5 linked regions of the Callithrix jacchus genome follow. The protein of the gene in region 1 binds, or shares a complex with, the protein of each later gene. Links are inferred from orthologs where the notes say so. Each region holds a gene or a part of one and is shown in the gene's direction. Other genes may lie near its edges.

The links.
Region 2: the proteins of GABARAP (region 1) and WDFY3 are in contact, whole or in part, in a crystal structure (PDB 3WIM), measured with the Homo sapiens proteins. The link is inferred for Callithrix jacchus from reciprocal best matches to the Homo sapiens genes GABARAP and WDFY3. Residues at the interface, in NP_009209.1 of Homo sapiens: Glu17, Ile21, Lys24, Tyr25, Arg28, Pro30, Lys46, Lys48, Tyr49, Leu50, Val51, Pro52, Asp54, Leu55, Leu63, Lys66, Arg67, Phe104; in NP_055806.2 of Homo sapiens: Glu3342, Lys3343, Asp3344, Gly3345, Phe3346, Ile3347, Phe3348, Val3349, Asn3350, Tyr3351, Ser3352.
Region 3: the proteins of GABARAP (region 1) and TP53INP2 are in contact, whole or in part, in a crystal structure (PDB 8T31), measured with the Homo sapiens proteins. The link is inferred for Callithrix jacchus from reciprocal best matches to the Homo sapiens genes GABARAP and TP53INP2. Residues at the interface, in NP_009209.1 of Homo sapiens: Tyr5, Glu17, Ile21, Tyr25, Arg28, Pro30, Val31, Ile32, Lys46, Lys48, Tyr49, Leu50, Val51, Pro52, Asp54, Leu55, Gln59, Leu63, Arg67, Phe104; in NP_001316358.1 of Homo sapiens: Glu31, Val32, Asp33, Gly34, Trp35, Leu36, Ile37, Ile38, Asp39, Leu40, Pro41.
Region 4: the proteins of GABARAP (region 1) and KBTBD6 are in contact, whole or in part, in a crystal structure (PDB 4XC2), measured with the Homo sapiens proteins. The link is inferred for Callithrix jacchus from reciprocal best matches to the Homo sapiens genes GABARAP and KBTBD6. Residues at the interface, in NP_009209.1 of Homo sapiens: Tyr5, Glu8, His9, Glu17, Ile21, Tyr25, Arg28, Pro30, Val31, Ile32, Leu44, Asp45, Lys46, Lys47, Lys48, Tyr49, Leu50, Val51, Pro52, Leu55, Leu63, Arg67, Phe104; in NP_690867.3 of Homo sapiens: Ser663, Asp664, Asp665, Asp666, Phe667, Trp668, Val669, Arg670, Val671, Ala672, Pro673.
Region 5: the proteins of GABARAP (region 1) and CALR are in contact, whole or in part, in a crystal structure (PDB 3DOW), measured with the Homo sapiens proteins. The link is inferred for Callithrix jacchus from reciprocal best matches to the Homo sapiens genes GABARAP and CALR. Residues at the interface, in NP_009209.1 of Homo sapiens: Glu17, Ile21, Tyr25, Arg28, Pro30, Val31, Ile32, Lys48, Tyr49, Leu50, Val51, Pro52, Leu55, Phe60, Leu63, Ile64, Arg67, Phe104; in NP_004334.1 of Homo sapiens: Asp199, Trp200, Asp201, Phe202, Leu203, Pro204, Pro205.

What each region holds. Positions count from the first base shown.
Region 1 is NC_133506.1:73,732,792-73,736,712, reverse strand, and holds GABARAP (gamma-aminobutyric acid receptor-associated protein), read left to right. Parts: upstream 1-1,372; 5' UTR 1,373-1,495; coding exon 1,496-1,585; intron 1,586-2,154; coding exon 2,155-2,233; intron 2,234-2,373; coding exon 2,374-2,492; intron 2,493-2,919; coding exon 2,920-2,985; 3' UTR 2,986-3,413; downstream 3,414-3,921. UniProt on the Homo sapiens protein: Ubiquitin-like modifier that plays a role in intracellular transport of GABA(A) receptors and its interaction with the cytoskeleton.
Region 2 is NC_133504.1:112,702,928-112,706,768, forward strand, and holds the start of WDFY3 (WD repeat and FYVE domain-containing protein 3), read left to right. Parts: upstream 1-1,291; 5' UTR 1,292-1,295; intron 1,296-3,841. UniProt on the Homo sapiens protein: Required for selective macroautophagy (aggrephagy). Acts as an adapter protein by linking specific proteins destined for degradation to the core autophagic machinery members, such as the ATG5-ATG12-ATG16L E3-like ligase, SQSTM1 and LC3.
Region 3 is NC_133506.1:4,600,025-4,603,533, reverse strand, and holds part of TP53INP2 (tumor protein p53-inducible nuclear protein 2), read left to right. Parts: intron 1-2,819; coding exon 2,820-3,069; 3' UTR 3,070-3,509. UniProt on the Homo sapiens protein: Dual regulator of transcription and autophagy. Positively regulates autophagy and is required for autophagosome formation and processing.
Region 4 is NC_133506.1:160,304,722-160,308,842, reverse strand, and holds the start of KBTBD6 (kelch repeat and BTB domain-containing protein 6), read left to right. Parts: upstream 1-1,321; 5' UTR 1,322-1,631; coding exon 1,632-3,671; 3' UTR 3,672-4,121. UniProt on the Homo sapiens protein: As part of the CUL3(KBTBD6/7) E3 ubiquitin ligase complex functions as a substrate adapter for the RAC1 guanine exchange factor (GEF) TIAM1, mediating its 'Lys-48' ubiquitination and proteasomal degradation.
Region 5 is NC_133523.1:11,760,788-11,764,927, forward strand, and holds the start of CALR (calreticulin), read left to right. Parts: upstream 1-1,331; 5' UTR 1,332-1,402; coding exon 1,403-1,493; intron 1,494-1,853; coding exon 1,854-1,955; intron 1,956-2,141; coding exon 2,142-2,345; intron 2,346-2,803; coding exon 2,804-2,898; intron 2,899-2,996; coding exon 2,997-3,206; intron 3,207-3,291; coding exon 3,292-3,405; intron 3,406-3,501; coding exon 3,502-3,645; intron 3,646-4,140. UniProt on the Homo sapiens protein: Calcium-binding chaperone that promotes folding, oligomeric assembly and quality control in the endoplasmic reticulum (ER) via the calreticulin/calnexin cycle.

The sequences.
Region 1 (3,921 bases):
ACAGACATACGGTGATCCAGGAGACTCAAAGAGAAGCCAAGTCAGCTTTGTTGTGATTTGATTTTTTTTAAACTCTTGTACAAAACTGATCTAATTCTTCACTCCTGCTCCAAGGGCTGGGCTGTGGGTGGGATACGGGGATTTTGGGCCACTGGTTTTTCCCTCAATTTGTCCCCCCTTTACTCTCGTATTTTTCTCTCCTTAGACTCCCTCAGACCTGTAACCAGCTTTGTCTTTTTTCCTTTCCTCTCTTTTAAACCATGCATTATAACTTTGAAACCAAAGCGGCCCTTAGGTCCTTCTCTGGGGTTTTGGGAAGTGAGGGGAGGGCACTTTATTCACATGCACCCTGTCTCCAGAGCAGTGGGCGAAGAGCCTACTGCTGGACTCGAGGGCACGGGGAAAGGTGCTGTTGAGCATGAGGATACAATAGTGAATGTGGACACCAGATGCTTTGGCGGGAAGGGCCGAGTGACAGGATGGGCGCACTGGTGTGGAGTGGAAGGATACCTTTGGAGCAGTAGGCTATTGAAGGCCGAAAGGAGAAACCTGGGCGGCCAAAGGGCGTAGAGCTAGAGAAACGTCGGGCTTCGATGGGAGCACTGATATGGACAGACTACGCGGGCGCTGCCCCCTAGGGCCGCCTCGACCTCCGCTCTCGGAAGAGGGGCCCCTCCCCGACGTTGCTCAGCTGGCCCCGCCCCCCCAGCCGGCCCTACTTTCCGCCCCCCCAGCCGGCCCTACTTTCCGCACCCGCCACGTGACGCTCCGCCCTCTCTGAGATCACATGATTTCACTCAAACTGCGATGTTCCTCCGCGCTGGCGTAGTCCTTACCTCTTGGACCTCCTCTCCAGTCCCTATTGGTCTACTCATTCCTGGTACTTAAGCGTTCTGTACATCTCTCCAAACATCCGTTTTCTTTTTGAACTCTTATTTGTGGAGATCATCTCTGTCCCTTGGGTACTACTTTGTTTTGGTGTCAACGGCCGCCTTCAGCGTAGCAACGCGTTTTGTGAATAGCCGACCTTGTAATTGTCTCTGCTGTTCCTCTACGTTATTTCCGAAAGGAACTTGGGAAACCAAGTCTCATGGTTATTACCATCTCATACTCCTCTTGAGCCCCAGCTTCCTTGAGGGGGAGGTTGGGGAATAGGTTTAGAGGTATTTTCAATGAGTGAAAACCAACCGTCTTTGCTACGTCTTCTGCGTATCCCACACATTAATTCCAAAGCGATTACGCTAATGGCGTGAGGGGGAGGGTCAGTGGGTGTTGCTACGCTAGCAGCGTTAGTGCCGATGAGGTAGTGGCGTATCTTAACGGGGGGGCCGTCCTGTTAGTCGGGGGCGGGGTTGGTGAATAGGGAAGTGGCGCAAATTCGTGGATCGCTCCGCTGATTCCGCCCGCCCGTCGCCACTGTTGCCGCCGTCCCCCGTCCGGCCCCCCCCTCCCGGGTTCCCTCAGCCCAGCCCGGTCCAGCCCGGTTCTCGGGAGGATGAAGTTCGTGTACAAAGAAGAGCATCCATTCGAGAAGCGCCGCTCTGAGGGCGAGAAGATCCGAAAGAAATACCCGGACCGGGTGCCGGTGAGGACAGTAGCCTGGGCGGAGGGCGCGGGACGCTTACGCTGACGCCACAGCCTGGCCTTGGATTTGGGACGGGCAGCGGGAGGATCAGGCTGCTGGCTATGGCGGGATTGGAAGCGACCCTGAAACTGCTGTCCCTGGGACCGAGGATGAAAGGGGTGGGGTAGTGGTGGACCTGGAGTAGAGAGGGATGTAGACAGGAGAGAGAAACCTTGGCATTTGTGAGTGGAGGCCTTAAGAGAGTTTGACAGCCTGAGCTTCAAGTGGTCATCCCCCCAGCTAGTTGAGGTTGTGAGATTGAAGCACTAGTCGGCCCAGACAAGTCATCTCCATCTGATTAAGATAGTTGTTTATGGTGACGCCCTATTCGGGGGATGGATCCTGGCTATTTAAATGAACTCCAGTCAGTAAGGTCAGGATCTCTGGGACTCAGGGCTGCACCGCGTGTGCAAAGACAGATGAGTCTGGGGTAGATTTAGGTGCAAGGGTTATTGTTACTTGAGTTCTTGACAGGTGCAGCTGCGGGGCTGCATTCCTCTGCCTCCTCATTTTCATCCTCTCTTTATCAGGTGATAGTAGAAAAGGCTCCCAAAGCTCGGATAGGAGACCTGGACAAAAAGAAATACCTGGTGCCTTCTGATCTCACAGGTGGGAACCTGACCCAAGACCCAGGCTTGCTTCCTGTGGGTGGGAGTGCAGTCTCTGCAGGAGGAGGCTCCACCTAGCAGCTGTTCTTTTGAGGGCATTTTTGACCTCTCTGACTTTCTCACACCTTGTATCTTTTGCAGTTGGTCAGTTCTACTTCTTGATCCGGAAGCGAATTCATCTCCGAGCTGAGGATGCCTTGTTTTTCTTTGTCAACAATGTCATTCCACCCACCAGTGCCACAATGGGTCAACTTTACCAGGTACGGTGACTTGGAAGTGGTGGAGGCTTTGGAGAAGCCTCTGGAAGAGCGTGAGCGGAAGAAAGTGTTGTTACATCAGTAGTTTTGCACTAGCTTCCTGACTTGCCTTAAAATTTCATGATAGCAGTGGGTTGGGGGTTTGAACAGAACAGTAGGAGTAGAGAGACGCAAAGAGAACAGTGAGCTAGAGGAACTTTCTGATCAGGACTCTTCCCAGTCCTCCTCCCCTTTCCAGAGCAGCAGACAACCGTTTAAGGTCTTTTTGCCCAGGACTGCAGAGATTATACTGCTTATGCTAGTCCTTGGAGTCAGTGAAGGAGTCGGGCACTGGTTTGTGGTTCTAGAAGACCATAAACTGGTTTGGGTGGTGGTTGGTTGAAGTAAGTTAGGAGCCCAGTTGCTGAACAGTTTTCTGCTTTCATCTCAGGAACACCATGAAGAAGACTTCTTTCTGTACATTGCCTATAGTGACGAAAGTGTCTACGGTCTGTGAAGCTGCTGCCCTTGAGCTGGAGGGGGCTCTCATTCTACAAAGAGAGAGGTGGCCCCCCTTTCTTGACTTCTTCCTCCTTCAAGCTCAAATACCACCTCCCTTATTCAGGACCGGCACTTCTTAATGTTTGAGGCTCTCTCTCCAGCCTCTCTTAGGAGGGGTAATGGTGGAGTTGGCATCTTGTACCTCTCCCTTCTCCTTTTTTCCCCTTTCTCTGCCGGCCTTTCCCATTCTGCTTTAGACTCTTGATTGTCAGTCTCTGTCACATCTAGTGATTGTTTTGGTTTCTGTTCCCTTTCTGACTGCCCAAGGGGCTCAAAACCCCAGCAATCCCTTCCTTTCACTACCTTCTTTTTTGGGGGTAGTTGGAAGGGACTGAAATTGTCGGGGGAAGGTAAGAGGCACATCAATAAAGAAGAAACCACCAAGCTGAGCTGAATTTTGCCTTGTGTTGCTCCCCTCCTCCCGCTGTTTTTTAGTCTTTCCAAGGCGTCAGTGGGTTTCAGTGGTGGGGAAAGAAGAGTAATGGGTACAAGCTGGAGGGATAGAAGTATATTTTGATTTATTCTGTTCATGTTGAGCTTTTCCCGGTCTGCAAAGAGAGGGTGATTTTGTTGTAATGGAATGGAATACTGAGTATCATTTCATAAAACTTTAGTTTTATGACACATATGTGAAACTAAATGTTAAATATGCTTATGTAAAAAATACTGTTCGAAAGTACCTGCTTTAGGTGGACATTTATTAGAACATTTTAATTAAGATATTTTCATGTGTAGGAGCTGGTAAAACGGCTGTTCTCAGTTGTATGTCACTTGGCTAGAGTTTTGCCGGCGAGTGGGATCCGGAGGAGTGGAATCAGGGAGGGAGAAGACTGGGAGGAGGGAGCCATTATCGCCAGGAGTACTTCATCTCCCAGTGATCATTTCTCCCGCA
Region 2 (3,841 bases), on another chromosome or scaffold:
CTTCACTGCCAGAACTGAAGCGTGACCCAAATTGTCTACTGTGTTGTATAGGAACAAACTAGCAAACTGCTGATCACTAAGCAGTTCTAGGTTTACTAAAGGATACTTATTTGGTCTAAATACTGTTTGTTGGGACTGCAAAGGTATAAATTATGCCCCTTCCAGGAAGGAAAGCGAAAACCTAAAATCTTATGGAACCGATTGAAGGTCACTGACAGAAGGCACCTCTGGAGACCTAGCTCCTCAACTCCGGTCCCATCATGGACCAGAGCCACACAGGTGACTGTGCAGGAGTTTCGAGGCTGCGTAGTAAAATAGCTGGCGTGGGCAGTTCTTTTATACTCCAGCTAGAGTAAAACTAACGCAGCTTTGCGTTTCTCCATCGCCTTTGACAGCATCCAGCAAAAGGGTGTAGGGATAAGGATAGCTGAAGAACCCAGTTGTCCTTTCTCAGCTGAGTCCTTTGAGAAACTGGGACTGAGGAGGGTGAGCAGCGCGGAGAGGGGCAGGGGTGGGGGGTGGGAGAGGGGAGCAGGGCGCGGGGCGGTGAAGGGGCGCGTCTGAAAGGCAGTGGGGAGAGGGACTGAGGGGAGCGGGGCTGAAGTCCAGCTGGGAGCATCCAGAGGCGCTGCCTGAAGACGAGGGCGAAGGCAGCCGCTGAGAGTGAGGGGAAAGCGGGAAGCCGAGGGAAGGGAAGGAAGTAAGGAAAGAGGAAGGAAAGGCAGGAGGGGTGGGGGGGGAGAGGCAGAGCGGCTGCAATTTCTGCGGCCGGCTCAGTAGGAGGAGCAGGAGGGGAAAGAGGAGGATCCAGAGTCAGTCAGTCAGGCAGCCAGCGGGAGGTGGAGAAAGCAGGAGGAGGAGGAGGATTAAAGATGGCCACCAACAGCTGCGGGAAACGGCAACAACCCCTCACTTCCCGGGATGGTCCCTGCGGGTCGGCCCGGCCTTGATGGAGAGAAGAAGCCCGAAGAGCGCCGAGGCTGAGGCGGCGGCGGCGGCGGCGGCGGGGACCCAACGAGGACGAGGACGCTGCGGAGCAAGGACGGGGGCAGGAGAAGGGAAAGGCGGCGGCTTCGCTGCCCCAGCCGCCTAGCACCGCTGCCTGGCCCGGCGGACCGGTTCCCGCACCTCGCGGTCGCAGAATCGAACCGGGCCCCGGCCCCCGGCCCGCGCCGCGGGGCTCCCGGGCCCCACCGTGGACGCCACGCCGGTCGCCTCTTTCCCGTAAACCGCGCGTCCTCGGCGCGGTCCGGGATCCCGGGCCCGGCCCGCCCGCGCCCTCCGCCGGCCCTCAGGTGAGTGCCCCCGCCATCCTCCCCGCCCCCGGTGCTCCGGGAGAGGCGGCGCTGCCTCGGGCCGGCGCGCCTGATCGCTTTGTTCGTGCGGGGCGGAGGCGCTGCCCACTGGCGGCCCTGTACCCGCTCCCCCTAGGGACAGGCCGCGGCCCAGCTGCTGTCCTCCCTAGGGTCCGCCTTGGCCTGGAGCCGCCGCGGCCGCCAGGGTTGGCGGCCTGGCCCGAGTCCTCCGCTGCGGCCTGGGGAGGGCGCCGTCGCGGTCGGGTCGGGGTCGGGGTCGGGGTCACGGACGGCAGGCGGAGGGGAGCGGAACCGGGCTATTTTGGGAGATGGGGGAGGAGTAGGCTGGACATTACCTCTAGGAAGCAGTGGGGGCGTAACTTGGCGGCCCTGGCGCCCAGGGGTAGGGGATCAGGCACTGTCCCCCAAGCCCGTTGCATCCCGCGGGGTCTCGGCTCCTGGAGCCCTCCGCACCTGGGCGCAGCGGAGCGGCCTCCATCCCTCCGGCGCTGTCTCCAGGGCTGCGGGCCTCTCCCACTACGCCCTATGCTGGAAGCCGTTAGATTATGGAAGGAACCAGAGATGCACCAGTTCTCTTGTGCTGGGGATGTGGTGAATCGCAAACATTCACAGTTACGGCGGGATTTATAAAGCAGATGTGACCTTTCTGACCAAAGGCCTTCTGGCTAGTGTTTGAGCCTCAGGTGCAGCGTTTCATTGATTTTTACCATATAATTCTGAGATCTGCAGTATCAGGTCTTTCTTTCACAGAAATAATGTGATAAAACCAGATTGAAAGGGTGTTTACTGTATATGTGAACCCTTGCATGGACTTCCAGTACCTTAAAATTGGTTGTTTTCTGTGGGAAAATGGTGCTCATGCATACGAAAAACTATTTTTGTTCAGTAATGGTTGCCAACCGGTTTACTATGTAGTTTAAAAACCAAACAATTAAAAAGGAAAAACAAAACCCTATTCTTTGGGCTTTTTGAAATAGTGGCATATTTCCAGGTTGGTATTTGGTGGCAGGTTGGGAACAATTAGTTTTCACTGTTAGGCGACATAACAAACATGACATAAAACAGAACCAAGGACACGCTAATTTATAGAAAACCAGATGTTGTATTAGTGCATAAGTCTGGTGAAAAATAAATCCCACTTTAAAAAAGAAAAATAAAACTTTTATCATGAGACTCTTAAATATAGGAATTAGATAGATGTGTTTTTATGTTTAAAAATATATATTACAGACTGGGCATGGTGGCTGAAGCCTATAATCCTAGCACTTTGGGAGTCCGAGGCGGGTGGATCACGAGGTGCAGAAATCGAGACCGTTCTGGTCAACAAGGTGAAATCCCGTCTCTACTAAAAATACAAAAATTAGCTGGGCATGGTGGCGCCCGCCTGTAGTCCTAGCTACTCGGGAGGCTGAGGCAGGAGAATTGCTTGAACCCAGGAGGCGGAGGCTGTGTTGAGCCATGATCGTGCCATTGCACTCCAGCCTGGGTAACAAGAGCGAAACTCTGTCTCAAAAAAAAAAAAGGTATATATATATGTATGTGCGTGTGTGTGTGTGTGTGTGTGTGTGTATTACATTAGAATTGAGAACTCTTCCTATGATATTTGAGCATTAGTGGAGTATGTTAACACTTTGAACCATTGTGTCTCAAGCTGCTAGAAAGATAGGTTTCTACTACCAGTTTATTTCCATAAGTTAAAATGAGTTCATCTGAATTATGTGCATGCTTTTGGTTGGGCACAGTGGGTCATGCCTGTCATCCAAGCACTTTGGGAGGCTAAGGCCGGAGGACCACTTGAGGCCAAGATTTAGAGACCAGCCTGGGCAACATACAGCACCCTGACTCTACCAAAAAAAATTTTTTTAAAGAAAAAAATAGTTGTAACTTAAAATTTATATCACCTCCAAAAAGTATGAATAAATTAGAAAACACAATGTCCTACTCTTGCAAAATCTGTTTTTAAAAAATAAATGACAATATAATATTTCAGTATTAGTTGGATTCTCTACTTTGAAGAGATTCTTAAATTTCACTGCTCAATTTTGCAATTTTAAAAGTTCACATCAGGTGTTCTTAATCCCCCCCACCCCCCCTCAATCTCTCTCTTTCTTTCTCTCTTTTTTTCTTTCCAACACAGAGTCGTGCCCTGTTGCCCAGGCTAGGGTGTAGTGGCATGATTACGGTTCACTGCAGCCTTGAACTTCTGGGCCCAAGTGATCCTTCCTCCACAGCCTCCCAAGTAGTTACGACTACATGTGCATGCTACCATGCCTGTCTAATTTTTGTAGAGATGAGGGTCTCCCTGTGTTGCCCAGGCTGAACTTGAACTCCTGGCCTCAAGCAATTATTCTGCCTTAGATGCCCTGAGTGCTGGAATTACAGGTGTGAGCTATCATGCCCTGCTTCTTTCTCAATTTCATGCATATGCTTCTGAGGGTCCTTGGCTCCCCAGAAATCATAAGCACAATATAGCGTATATTTGCATTTTTTCTAGATAAAGGGTCTGTGTGGTGATCACATTCTCA
Region 3 (3,509 bases), about 69 Mb from region 1:
TAGCAGGGGGACTTAGGGTGAGGGGCGGGTGGGAGAGAGAGGGTGGGAGAGGCTAGCAGGGGGACTTAGGGTGAGGGGCGGGTGGGAGAGAGGGTGGGAGAGGCTAGCAGGGGGACTTAGGGTGAGGGGCGGGTGGGAGAGAGGGTGGGAGAGGCTAGCAGGGGGACTTAGGGTGAGGGGCGGGTGGGAGAGGGTGGGAGAGGCTAGCAGGGGGACTTAGGGTGAGGGGTGGGTGAGAGAGGCGTGGGAGAGGGTGGGAGAGGCTAGCAGGGGGACTTAGGGTGAGGGGCGGGTGGGAGAGAGAGGGTGGGAGAGGCTAGCAGGGGGACTTAGGGTGAGGGGCGGGTGGGAGAGAGGGTGGGAGAGGCTAGCAGGGGGACTTAGGGTGAGGGGCGGGTGGGAGAGGGTGGGAGAGGCTAGCAGGGGGACTTAGGGTGAGGAGCGGGTGGGAGAGGCGTGGGAGAGGCTAGCAGGGGGACTTAGGGTGAGGGGCGGGTGGGAGAGGGTGGGAGAGGCTAGCAGGGGGACTTAGGGTGAGGGGCGGGTGGGAGAGGGTGGGAGAGGCTAGCAGGGGGACTTAGGGTGAGGGGCGGGTGGGAGAGAGAGGGTGGGAGAGGCTAGCAGGGGGACTTAGGGTGAGGGGCGGGTGGGAGAGAGAGGGTGGGAGAGGCTAGCAGGGGGACTTAGGGTGAGGGGCGGGTGGGAGAGGGTGGGAGAGGCTAGCAGGGGGACTTAGGGTGAGGGGCGGGTGGGAGAGGCGTGGGAGAGGGTGGGAGAGGCTAGCAGGGGGACTTAGGGTGAGGGGCGGGTGGGAGAGGGTGGGAGAGGCTAGCAGGGGGACTTAGGGTGAGGGGCGGGTGGGAGAGGCGTGGGAGAGGCTAGCAGGGGGACTTAGGGTGAGGGGCGGGTGGGAGAGGGTGGGAGAGGTTAGCAGGGGGACTTAGGGTGAGGGGCGGGTGGGAGAGGCGTGGGAGAGGGTGGGAGAGGCTAGCAGGGGGACTTAGGGTGAGGGGCGGGTGGGAGAGGGTGGGAGAGGCTAGCAGGGGGACTTAGGGTGAGGGGCGGGTGGGAGAGAGAGGGTGGGAGAGGCTAGCAGGGGGACTTAGGGTGAGGGGCGGGTGGGAGAGAGAGGGTGGGAGAGGCTAGCAGGGGGACTTAGGGTGAGGGGCGGGTGGGAGAGAGAGGGTGGGAGAGGCTAGCAGGGGGACTTAGGGTGAGGGGCGGGTGGGAGAGAGAGGGTGGGAGAGGCTAGCAGGGGGACTTAGGGTGAGGGGCGGGTGGGAGAGGGTGGGAGAGGCTAGCAGGGGGACTTAGGGTGAGGGGCGGGTGGGAGAGAGGGTGGGAGAGGCTAGCAGGGGGACTTAGGGTGAGGGGCGGGTGGGAGAGAGAGGGTGGGAGAGGCTAGCAGGGGGACTTAGGGTGAGGGGCGGGTGGGAGAGAGAGGGTGGGAGAGGCTAGCAGGGGGACTTAGGGTGAGGGGCGGGTGGGAGAGGGTGGGAGAGGCTAGCAGGGGGACTTAGGGTGAGGGGCGGGTGGGAGAGGGTGGGAGAGGCTAGCAGGGGGACTTAGGGTGAGGGGTGGGTGAGAGAGGCGTGGGAGAGGGTGGGAGAGGCTAGCAGGGGGACTTAGGGTGAGGGGCGGGTGGGAGAGAGAGGGTGGGAGAGGCTAGCAGGGGGACTTAGGGTGAGGGGCGGGTGGGAGAGAGGGTGGGAGAGGCTAGCAGGGGGACTTAGGGTGAGGGGCGGGTGGGAGAGGGTGGGAGAGGCTAGCAGGGGGACTTAGGGTGAGGAGCGGGTGGGAGAGGCGTGGGAGAGGCTAGCAGGGGGACTTAGGGTGAGGGGCGGGTGGGAGAGGGTGGGAGAGGCTAGCAGGGGGACTTAGGGTGAGGGGCGGGTGGGAGAGGGTGGGAGAGGCTAGCAGGGGGACTTAGGGTGAGGGGCGGGTGGGAGAGAGAGGGTGGGAGAGGCTAGCAGGGGGACTTAGGGTGAGGGGCGGGTGGGAGAGGGTGGGAGAGGCTAGCAGGGGGACTTAGGGTGAGGGGCGGGTGGGAGAGGGTGGGAGAGGCTAGCAGGGGGACTTAGGGTGAGGGGCGGGTGGGAGAGGCGTGGGAGAGGCTAGCAGGGGGACTTAGGGTGAGGGGCGGGTGGGAGAGGGTGGGAGAGGCTAGCAGGGGGACTTAGGGTGAGGGGCGGGTGGGAGAGGCGTGGGAGAGGGTGGGAGAGGCTAGCAGGGGGACTTAGGGTGAGGGGCGGGTGGGAGAGGGTGGGAGAGGCTAGCAGGGGGACTTAGGGTGAGGGGCGGGTGGGAGAGAGAGGGTGGGAGAGGCTAGCAGGGGGACTTAGGGTGAGGGGCGGGTGGGAGAGAGAGGGTGGGAGAGGCTAGCAGGGGGACTTAGGGTGAGGGGCGGGTGGGAGAGAGAGGGTGGGAGAGGCTAGCAGGGGGACTTAGGGTGAGGGCTGTCGTGTGGGAGATGCGTGGCCTCGTGGCCGGGGTGGGGCTTGGGAGGGAGGGGCGTGGCTAAGAGGCCACGGAAGGATTTGGAGGCTTGAGCGTGGCTAGAGTGCCGTGGGAGTTGTGCTTAAACAGAAAGGCAAGGGTGGAATTGAGGGTGGGAGTCTAGTCTTCCCCGAGGTCCAGTTTACCTGTCAGGGGCGAGAACCGAGGAGACATCTCCAGGGTGGTATCCACAAGAAGGGCGTCGGGGACCCCAATCTGAGCAGACACAGAATTGCAGCAAGGCAAGGGTGGGAGATGGCAGCTCCCCTTAGGCCTCCCGCCCGGCTTATCCGGCCTGACCCAGCCCCTCGCTGTGTCCACAGGGAGGTGGCGCCCGCCCACCGCGAGCCCCGGGCCGCGCGCCACGCTGCTCCTCTACCCGCGCGGGCGGCGCTGCTGGAGAAGGCGGGTCAGGTGCGGCGGCTGCAGCGGGCCCGGCAGCGGGCGGAGCGCCACGCGCTGAGCGCCAAGGCGGTGCAGCGGCAGAACCGAGCCCGCGAGAGCCGTCCGCGCCGGCCCAAGCACCAGGGCAGCTTCATCTACCAGCCGTGCCAGCGCCAGTTCAACTACTGAGCGTCTGCTGGTCACGCCACGAACCCCTTGCCGACTACCGATCCCTGTCGGGCCCCTCCGACGCCTCGGGCTGGACGCCGAAACCTCCCTTCTTAAAGCGTGTGAGGTTGGGTGATAGCCGTTCCTTCCCTGACCCCCTCAACTTCTCTGATCCTCTAATCCGCCTGAGCCCCTTTTCAAGCCCCCTTCATCCTCGCTCTTTCTGGCCCCCATCCCCAGCATCTAATCATCCACACCCCCTACTCCTCTCCCTTCCATCCTTTCTTCTCTGGCCCACATCCCTGTCTCTCCCCTTCACCCTTGCCCTCCAGTCCTCTACCTCTGGCCGGCTCCTATTTCTGAAAGCTTCTTCCAGTCCCTGATCTGGCTCATTCCCCACCTTCAACTCCCACCTTACATGACTCACACTATCCCATGTTTGGCATTACACTCACCCCTGT
Region 4 (4,121 bases), about 87 Mb from region 1:
AGGAAATGTGAGAGACTGTGTGACGGTGACACAGTCACAAGGTTGTCCTTCAGAGGGAATGGGAAGAAGAGAGGTTTGTTTTGACTATGGTGGGCAGTGATGTGAGAGGAAGACAGTGGCAGGGTTTCACAGGAAGTGGGTCGGAAGTGGAAACGTGTTTGGTGTTCTCAGTGACTTTTAACATCTGAACTGCATGGGGTGTGTAAAGGTTGAGGGAATGACTCAAAATGAAGCCCGCTCTGATGGAACAGCAACTTCATACAAGCAAGGGGAGAAATGCTTGCACCACTGGGTCTCAAAGGATGCTAAGTTACTCACCAGGCCTCTGGCTTCCATTGTATTTTAGAGTGAGGACTCTCTAAAATATGTCTTTTCTTTTGGGTAAAAAGGGGAAAGGGGAAACTGAATATTGGAGAGTGGGAGAAGACGCTGGAGAGGACTTCAGGTTTTGAAATGCAGATATGGAAGGAAAGTCTCAAAGTCAGGTGATTGGAGGTGATTTCCTTTTAGTCATGGCAAGTAAGGACAGGCAATGGTGGAAAAGCCAGGGATCTAATTCAGCAGCAACAGCCAACCAATCCTACAAACTGAGTTATCTTTTGGTATCAGGGAGAGGCACAGCATGTACAAAAAAAAAAAAAATCACTTCTAACGGATGCATACACTAATACAAAATGTTAATAATAAGGGAATTGCGAAGGGGGAAGAGATATAGGAAGCTCCCGGTCCCTTCTGCTCAATTTTTCTGTAAACGTAAGATTCAAACCTACTAATTAAAACACACACACACACCCCTAAAAGGGATTCTCTGCTGCAAGGTTTTCTGATTTTGGGGGTTGTTTTTTGTTTTCCTACAGGCTCATAATTTCAAATTAGTGGTGCTTCATTTTTTTTTAAATAAATGCTGGAAGAAAAGTTAAAACTTATAGAACCTTTACAACCTAAGAAGCGAATAATTATTCTACAAACCAACAAATATTAAGAGCGTCCTATAACCAACTCATTTAATCTTCACACAATCCTATGAAATACTCCTGTTCACATTTCACAAAAGAAGAAGAAACAGTTCAGAGACAAGTCAAACAATATATACTAGAACGAGGCGACTACTTTGGATACCAAAACCACATTTCCGAACCACAAAATCCAACCTAGGAAAATTGGCGCTCTCGAGTGTCGTCATTAAAATAAGGAACACAGAGAAGGATCGCGATATTACACGAACTACTACTCCCAACATGCAAAGCGGTCTCTTTCAGTCTCGGCCCGGGGGTCCGAGAGCCCCAGTAGCCCTTGGGGCGCAAAAGGCATCGTGGGAGCTGTAGTTCTCCTGGGCGCCTAGTGTTGTCGCCCACGCGGTGGCAGCGGCGTCTGAGGCTCCCAGCCAGCGGGTCCTGTGAACGCGAGCAGAGGCGGAGAAGGGACGCGGGTGTGAGAGCGGGTGAGTCAGCCACTGTCTAAACGATAAAGGGAGGCGGCTCCTTGGGGTTGGGCTGAATTCAGTAAATGGGCTCGTGCTCCGGCTTCTTCGGACACGCTGCTGCCTTAGCGTCAGCGAGGGAAGGGTGAGGAGGAGCCAGAGCCGGGTCCTGCAGCCGTTCTCGCCTTCAGCGCCCGTCGCCATCTCCATCATGCAGTCCCGGGAGGACGCCCCGCGCTCTCGCCGCCTCGCCAGTCCCCGCGGTGGGAAGCGGCCCAAGAAGATTCACATACCCACAGTTTCGGCCTTTTTCACGGGCCCAGAGGAATTAAAGGACACGGCCCATTCTGCAGCCCTCCTGGCCCAGCTCAAGTCCTTCTACGACGCGCGGCTGCTGTGCGATGTGACCATCGAGGTGGTAACGCCCGGCAGCGGGCCCGGCACGGGTCGCCTGTTCCCCTGCAACCGCAACGTGCTGGCAGCTGCGTGTCCCTACTTCAAGAGCATGTTCACAGGTGGCATGTACGAGAGCCAGCAGGCCAGCGTGACCATGCACGACGTGGACGCCGAGTCCTTCGAGGTGCTGGTGGACTATTGCTACACGGGTCGTGTGTCGCTCAGTGAGGCCAACGTGGAGCGCCTGTACGCGGCCTCGGACATGCTGCAGCTGGAGTACGTGCGGGAAGCCTGTGCCTCCTTCTTAGCCCGACGCCTGGAGCTCACCAACTGCACCGCCATCCTCAAGTTTGCAGACGCCTTTGACCATCGCAAGCTGCGATCTCAGGCCCAGTCCTATATAGCTCACAACTTCAAGCAGCTCAGCCACATGGGTTCGATTCGGGAGGAGACTCTAGCAGATCTGACCCTGGCCCAGCTGCTGGCTGTTCTGCGCCTGGATAGTCTGGACGTGGAGAGTGAGCGGACAGTGTGCCACGTAGCAGTGCAGTGGCTGGAGGCTGCTCCCAAAGAGCGGGGTCCCAGTGCTGCAGAAGTCTTCAAGTGCGTGCGCTGGACGCACTTCACTGAGGAAGATCAGGACTACTTAGAAGGGCTGCTGAGCAAGCCCTTAGTGAAGAAGTACTGCCTGGGCGTTGTTGAAGGGGCCCTGCAGATGCGCTATGGCGACCTGCTGTACAAGTCTCTGGTGCCAGTGCCAAACAGCAGCAGCAGCGGCGGCAGCAGCAGCAGCAGCAGCAGCAACTCTGTTGTACCTGCAGCAGAAAATCCACCTCAGAGGCTGGGTATGTGTGCCAAGGAGATGCTGATCTTCTTTGGACACCCCAGAGATCCCTTTCTTTGCTGTGATCCGTACTCTGGGGACCTTTACAAAGTGCCCTCACCTTTGACCTGTCTTGCTCACACTAGGACTGTCACTACCTTAGCTGTCTGTATCTCTCCAGAGCACGACATCTACCTAGCTGCCCAGCCCAGGACAGACCTCTGGGTGTATAAACCAGGTCAGAATAGTTGGCACCAACTTGCAGATCGCATGCTGTGTCGTGAGGGCATGGATGTGGCATACCTCAATGGCTACATTTACATTTTGGGGGGGCGAGACCCTATTACTGGAGTTAAATTGAAGGAAGTAGAATGCTACAATGTTAAGAGAAACCAGTGGGCGTTGGTGGCTCCACTGCCCCATTCTTTTTTATCCTTTGACCTGTTGGTAATTCGGGACTATCTCTATGCTCTCAACAGTAAGCGCATGTTCTGTTATGATCCTAGCCACAACATGTGGCTGAAGTGCGTTTCTCTGAAGCGCAATGACTTTCAGGAAGCGTGTGTCTTCAATGAGGAGATCTATTGTATCTGTGACATCCCAGTCATGAAGGTCTACAACCCAGTTAGGGCAGAATGGAGGCAAATGAATAATATTCCCTTGGTGTCAGAGACCAATAACTACCGGATTATCAAGCATGGCCAAAAATTGTTGCTCGTCACCTCTCGCACCCCACAGTGGAAAAAGAACCGGGTGACTGTGTATGAATATGATATTAGGGGAGACCAATGGATTAATATAGGTACCACATTAGGCCTCTTGCAGTTTGATTCCAACTTTTTTTGCCTCTCTGCTCGTGTTTATCCTTCCTGCCTTGAACCTGGTCAGAGTTTCCTCACTGAAGAAGAAGAAATACCAAGTGAATCTAGCACTGAATGGGACTTAGGTGGATTCAGTGAGCCAGAGTCTGAGTCAGGAAGTTCAAGTTCTATTTCTGATGATGATTTTTGGGTGCGTGTGGCACCTCAGTGAAATGCACAGGATCAGCAGGGTTTGTTGTAACTGAATTCAAACACTAAGTTGTTTTTGCTGTTTTGGAATATATCTTAAATATCCTTTTTGTTCCCAAAGGGGAGGAAAAGTTGATTAACTGGTTTGGTTTAGAAAAAGTAATGTTTGAAATATGAAGGTAATTTAATATTACAAATTTTAACACTCAAAGCAACCTTTTAATAATTTTTTGTGCTAAGAATCCAGTATTTATTTATTTAGTATGTTTATGTTTCATAAAACTAATTTAGTCTTTTGATAAATTTTACATTTTGTTTATTGCCACAAGCACCGTGGCAGTAACTTTTTAATTTTAATTTTTATAACAGAAAAAGGATTAGGAATTGCTAGGCAGTGTTTTGAAAGCATATCTTTTTCTTCAGAACAATGTAGATTTCCAAAATGGTTAACCTAAGGGGTCTTTATAAAATA
Region 5 (4,140 bases), on another chromosome or scaffold:
ACCAAAAACACTTGCCAGATTATTCCCCCCCTTCCAACTTTGTTTTCCCTTTTAAAGAATTTGTTCCTTCCTCCCTTTTCTGACTATCTTTAGCTAGGAAGCAACCCTCCCCGCCCTCTTTCCTGGATCCCCTTCATTCCCTCCTTCCACAGTCCACTCCCGGGTTCCCAGGTCCAGGGCTTATTTGCCTAGACTTTGGAAAACCCCCAGCTCTCCTTCCTCCTTTCTGCAGCGTGGGGGCAGGGTGCTGGTGTCAGTCACGTCTCTCTAGCTTCAGAAGAAGGCACTAGACTCAGTCGAGGTCGAGGTGGGGGGGGGGGTCCTGCCCATCTCCCTAGCACCTTATCGTCCCTACCGTCTGTCTTTTTTCCCTCCCCAAACGGAACCCCCGGCCCTCTCGCCTATAGACGTTTAATTGCAAAAGCCAGGCCGTTTGTGGGAGACCACAAGACATCGACCCCCTTCATTTACCGGTTGAGAAGAGAGTAAAGGGGCTGCTGCAACCTGGGTAATAACCCTGTCCCCACCCCAGGAGTCACATCCTTAAGCCTTCCTTCCCTCTTGTCCCAGGACAGCTTTCAAAACGTTAAAAGCCTTTCGGCTGGGTAGCATCTGACCAGGGAGGGTCGTCCCCTCTGGCTGCTCAGGGGCGTCTGTCACTTCAGAAAGGTTAAGTGACTTGCCCCAGGTCGCACAGCAGCAGTCCGATAGGCTGCCAGGGCACTAGGGGCAGAAGGAGGAGAGAGTTGGCATTTTTCCCATTGGCCCGCGTGGCTGTAGCACTGGGGTGCAGCGAAGCCCCAGGGCCACAACCCCTGAGCTCTGTTCAATCCCGGGCGGAGATGGGGGAGCGGCTGTAGGGTACTGGTTCCCGAATGGCTAGAAAAGCCTTGCCCAGCCCCTCCAGGTAGAGGGAATGAGAGGGAGAGAAGTTGGGACATGGTTCCGGTCCCGCGTGGAAACACCTGCGCTCGCGCCAGTGCTTTAAACGCCCAGATGAGGAAAGACGCACGCGGGCGAGGGCGGGGTTGGGTTTAGATCTGGTCACATGACCTGGCCTGAGGGGCTCGAGGCCCCCGCCCCACCAGAGGGCGTCCCCCACAACGCGTGGTCGACTCTCATTGGTCAGCGGTGAGGCCAATAGAAATCGGCCATCTGGGAACCCAGCGTTCCGAGGCGCAGCCTAACATGGTGAACCGATAAAGATCCAATGGAAAAAGACAATCGTGAGCGCAGACCAATGATAAAGTGTCAAGGGCGGGCCCAAGGGCTTGGTCAGGTTGGTTTGAGAGGCGGATGGGTATAAAGGTGCAAGGCGGGCGGCGGCGGCCGTCCGTACTGCAGAGCCGCTGCCCCAAAGTCGTTTTAAAGGGCCAGCGCGCCGCCGCCCCCTCGGCCCGCCATGCTGCTATCCGTGCCGCTGCTGCTCGGCCTCCTCGGCCTGGCTGCCGCCGAGCCCGCCATCTATTTCAAGGAGCAGTTTCTGGACGGAGGTAACGCCTGATTTCGCCTCGAGGCTGCCCCGCCGACGCGGCTGGCCCCCATCCCGGATCTGCGTTGTTGCCCGTAATTACTGCTTTGGGGACCAACATGGTGGCCTCCAGGGCCTAGAGCCGAGGGCTATTCCTCTTTTGCGTCCCTGGGGAGCGCAGAGGCGCAGCGGCCTCCCGCAGCGGGAGTTAGGGTTCGCCTGAGGATCTCTTAAGGCACCTGAGGTGTCAAACTAGAGGTTGGGGTGGGGAGAGTCGGGGATCTCCTTCCCTGTCCCCAGCAGTTTTTGATTCTCGGCAGATGTTTGGTGGTGGGGAATCGGCACAACCGCGTTGACCTCCCCCCTCTAACCTCCCACTTAGATGGGTGGACTTCCCGCTGGATCGAATCCAAACACAAGTCAGATTTTGGCAAATTTGCCCTCAGTTCCGGCAAGTTCTACGGTGACCAGGAGAAAGATAAAGGTAAGAGCCTAGGAGTGGGTGCTCTGATCCGGGAGGACTTCCTGGCAGAAGTCCTTGTCTGCACACAGCTGGGACAGTCCCCTAGGAGGAGAGCAGGTGGAGGAAAGGGGAGTCGTTTGTATTCTCTAGGTCTTGGGTCCTCGGGGGTCAGGGCCCAACGGTGACCTCACTGCTATTCCGTTTCAGGTTTGCAGACAAGCCAGGATGCACGCTTTTATGCTCTATCGGCCAGTTTTGAGCCCTTTAGCAACAAAGGGCAGACACTAGTGGTGCAGTTCACGGTGAAACATGAGCAGAACATCGACTGTGGGGGCGGCTATGTGAAGCTGTTTCCTAGTAGTTTGGACCAGACGGACATGCACGGAGACTCAGAATACAACATCATGTTCGGTGAGGGGCTGGTTCCTGGTGCTGATCTCTGTCCCATTAGTTGGAGGGAGACTCAGACCCCATTGAGTTCCTTACATCCCAGAAAAGTGATTTTTGAGAGGATGGAAAGCATTTACTAATCATGATTTTCTTTGGAAGGAGAGCTAAAAGAATAGGTCACAGTTAGCAACAATTTATTGCCTTATCCCAGATCTAGGCTGTTAATTTAATTTGTATGATTGTATATAGTTACTTCCCAATCTTACAAATGAGGATGTTGAGTTCTAGAACGCTCATTTTTTTTCTTTAAACTTGAGGCTCCAGCCACAGTTCATTCAGGACAGCATCAAGGTCTGAGTCCCTCTTTTTAGCCTTGACAGACCAAGTTTAAGAACCAGGTTTTCCTTTTGTAAAGAGGGGAGAGGGCCTTGAAATGGTGGGTAGTCTCTGACTCTTAACTGGATGTGTTTCCCACCTAGGTCCTGACATCTGTGGCCCTGGCACCAAGAAGGTTCATGTCATCTTCAACTACAAGGGCAAGAACGTGCTGATCAACAAGGACATCCGTTGCAAGGTGTGCCTGGGGGTGGTGGTGGCAAATGATGGCTGTCATGGGAAGTTCAGAGGTCGGTCTGATTGCGGGGGGCCCCACTCACCTCCTTCCTTCTTCAGGATGATGAGTTTACACACCTGTACACACTGATTGTGCGACCGGACAATACCTACGAGGTGAAGATCGACAACAGCCAGGTGGAGTCGGGGTCCTTGGAGGACGATTGGGACTTTCTGCCACCCAAGAAGATAAAGGATCCTGCTGCTTCAAAACCGGAAGACTGGGATGAGCGGGCCAAGATCGATGATCCCACAGACTCCAAGCCTGAGGTAGGTGTTTGGGGAGGGGCTCTGCTTTCCACACTGGAGCGTGTGTAGGACAGCTGGGCCAACTCTGACCTCTTCTACACCCCAGGACTGGGACAAGCCTGAGCATATTCCTGACCCTGATGCCAAGAAGCCTGAGGACTGGGATGAAGAGATGGATGGAGAGTGGGAACCCCCAGTGATTCAGAACCCTGAGTACAAGGTGAGTTTGGGGTTCTGAGCAGGGCTGGAGCTCACAGTGGGGAGTCCACCAACCTCACTCACCCTCTGGTTCTTTTCTCCCTTATGCCTTCTGCAGGGTGAGTGGAAGCCCCGACAGATCGACAACCCAGATTACAAGGGCACTTGGATCCACCCAGAAATTGACAATCCCGAGTATTCCCCTGATCCCAATATCTATGCCTATGATAACTTTGGTGTGCTGGGCCTGGACCTCTGGCAGGTGAGACTTGGAGGGAAAAGGAGGATCCCTGGGGTACCTCGAGAGCTTACCATCACCCAGGAGGAAAGGGACAGGGTAGGATCACACCCCAGGAAGGTCTGACTCAAGATGGTACTTCTCTAAACAGTACTTCCTGGTCTGTCCTTATGGAGTCCTCACAGCAGCCCCTTTGAGGTTGTACTTTTTGTGCACCAAGTACTTCCCCTAGTACTTTTATGCAAATCAACTTCTTTAAATACCCCTAAAAAGCTAGAAGGTGGTCAGGTAACACAGAAAGTTTGGGGCTGGGCGCAGTGGCTCACCCTTGTAATCACAGTACTTTAGGAGGCTGAGGAAGGAGGATTGCTTAAGGCTAGGAGTTTGACAACTCAACCTTGCTTGGCAACATAGTGAGGCAACCTCATCTCTACACAAATTTTAAAATTAGCCAGATGTGATGCATACCTGTTATCCCAACTATCTAGGAAGAAAGAGGATCACTTGAGCCTGAGGCAT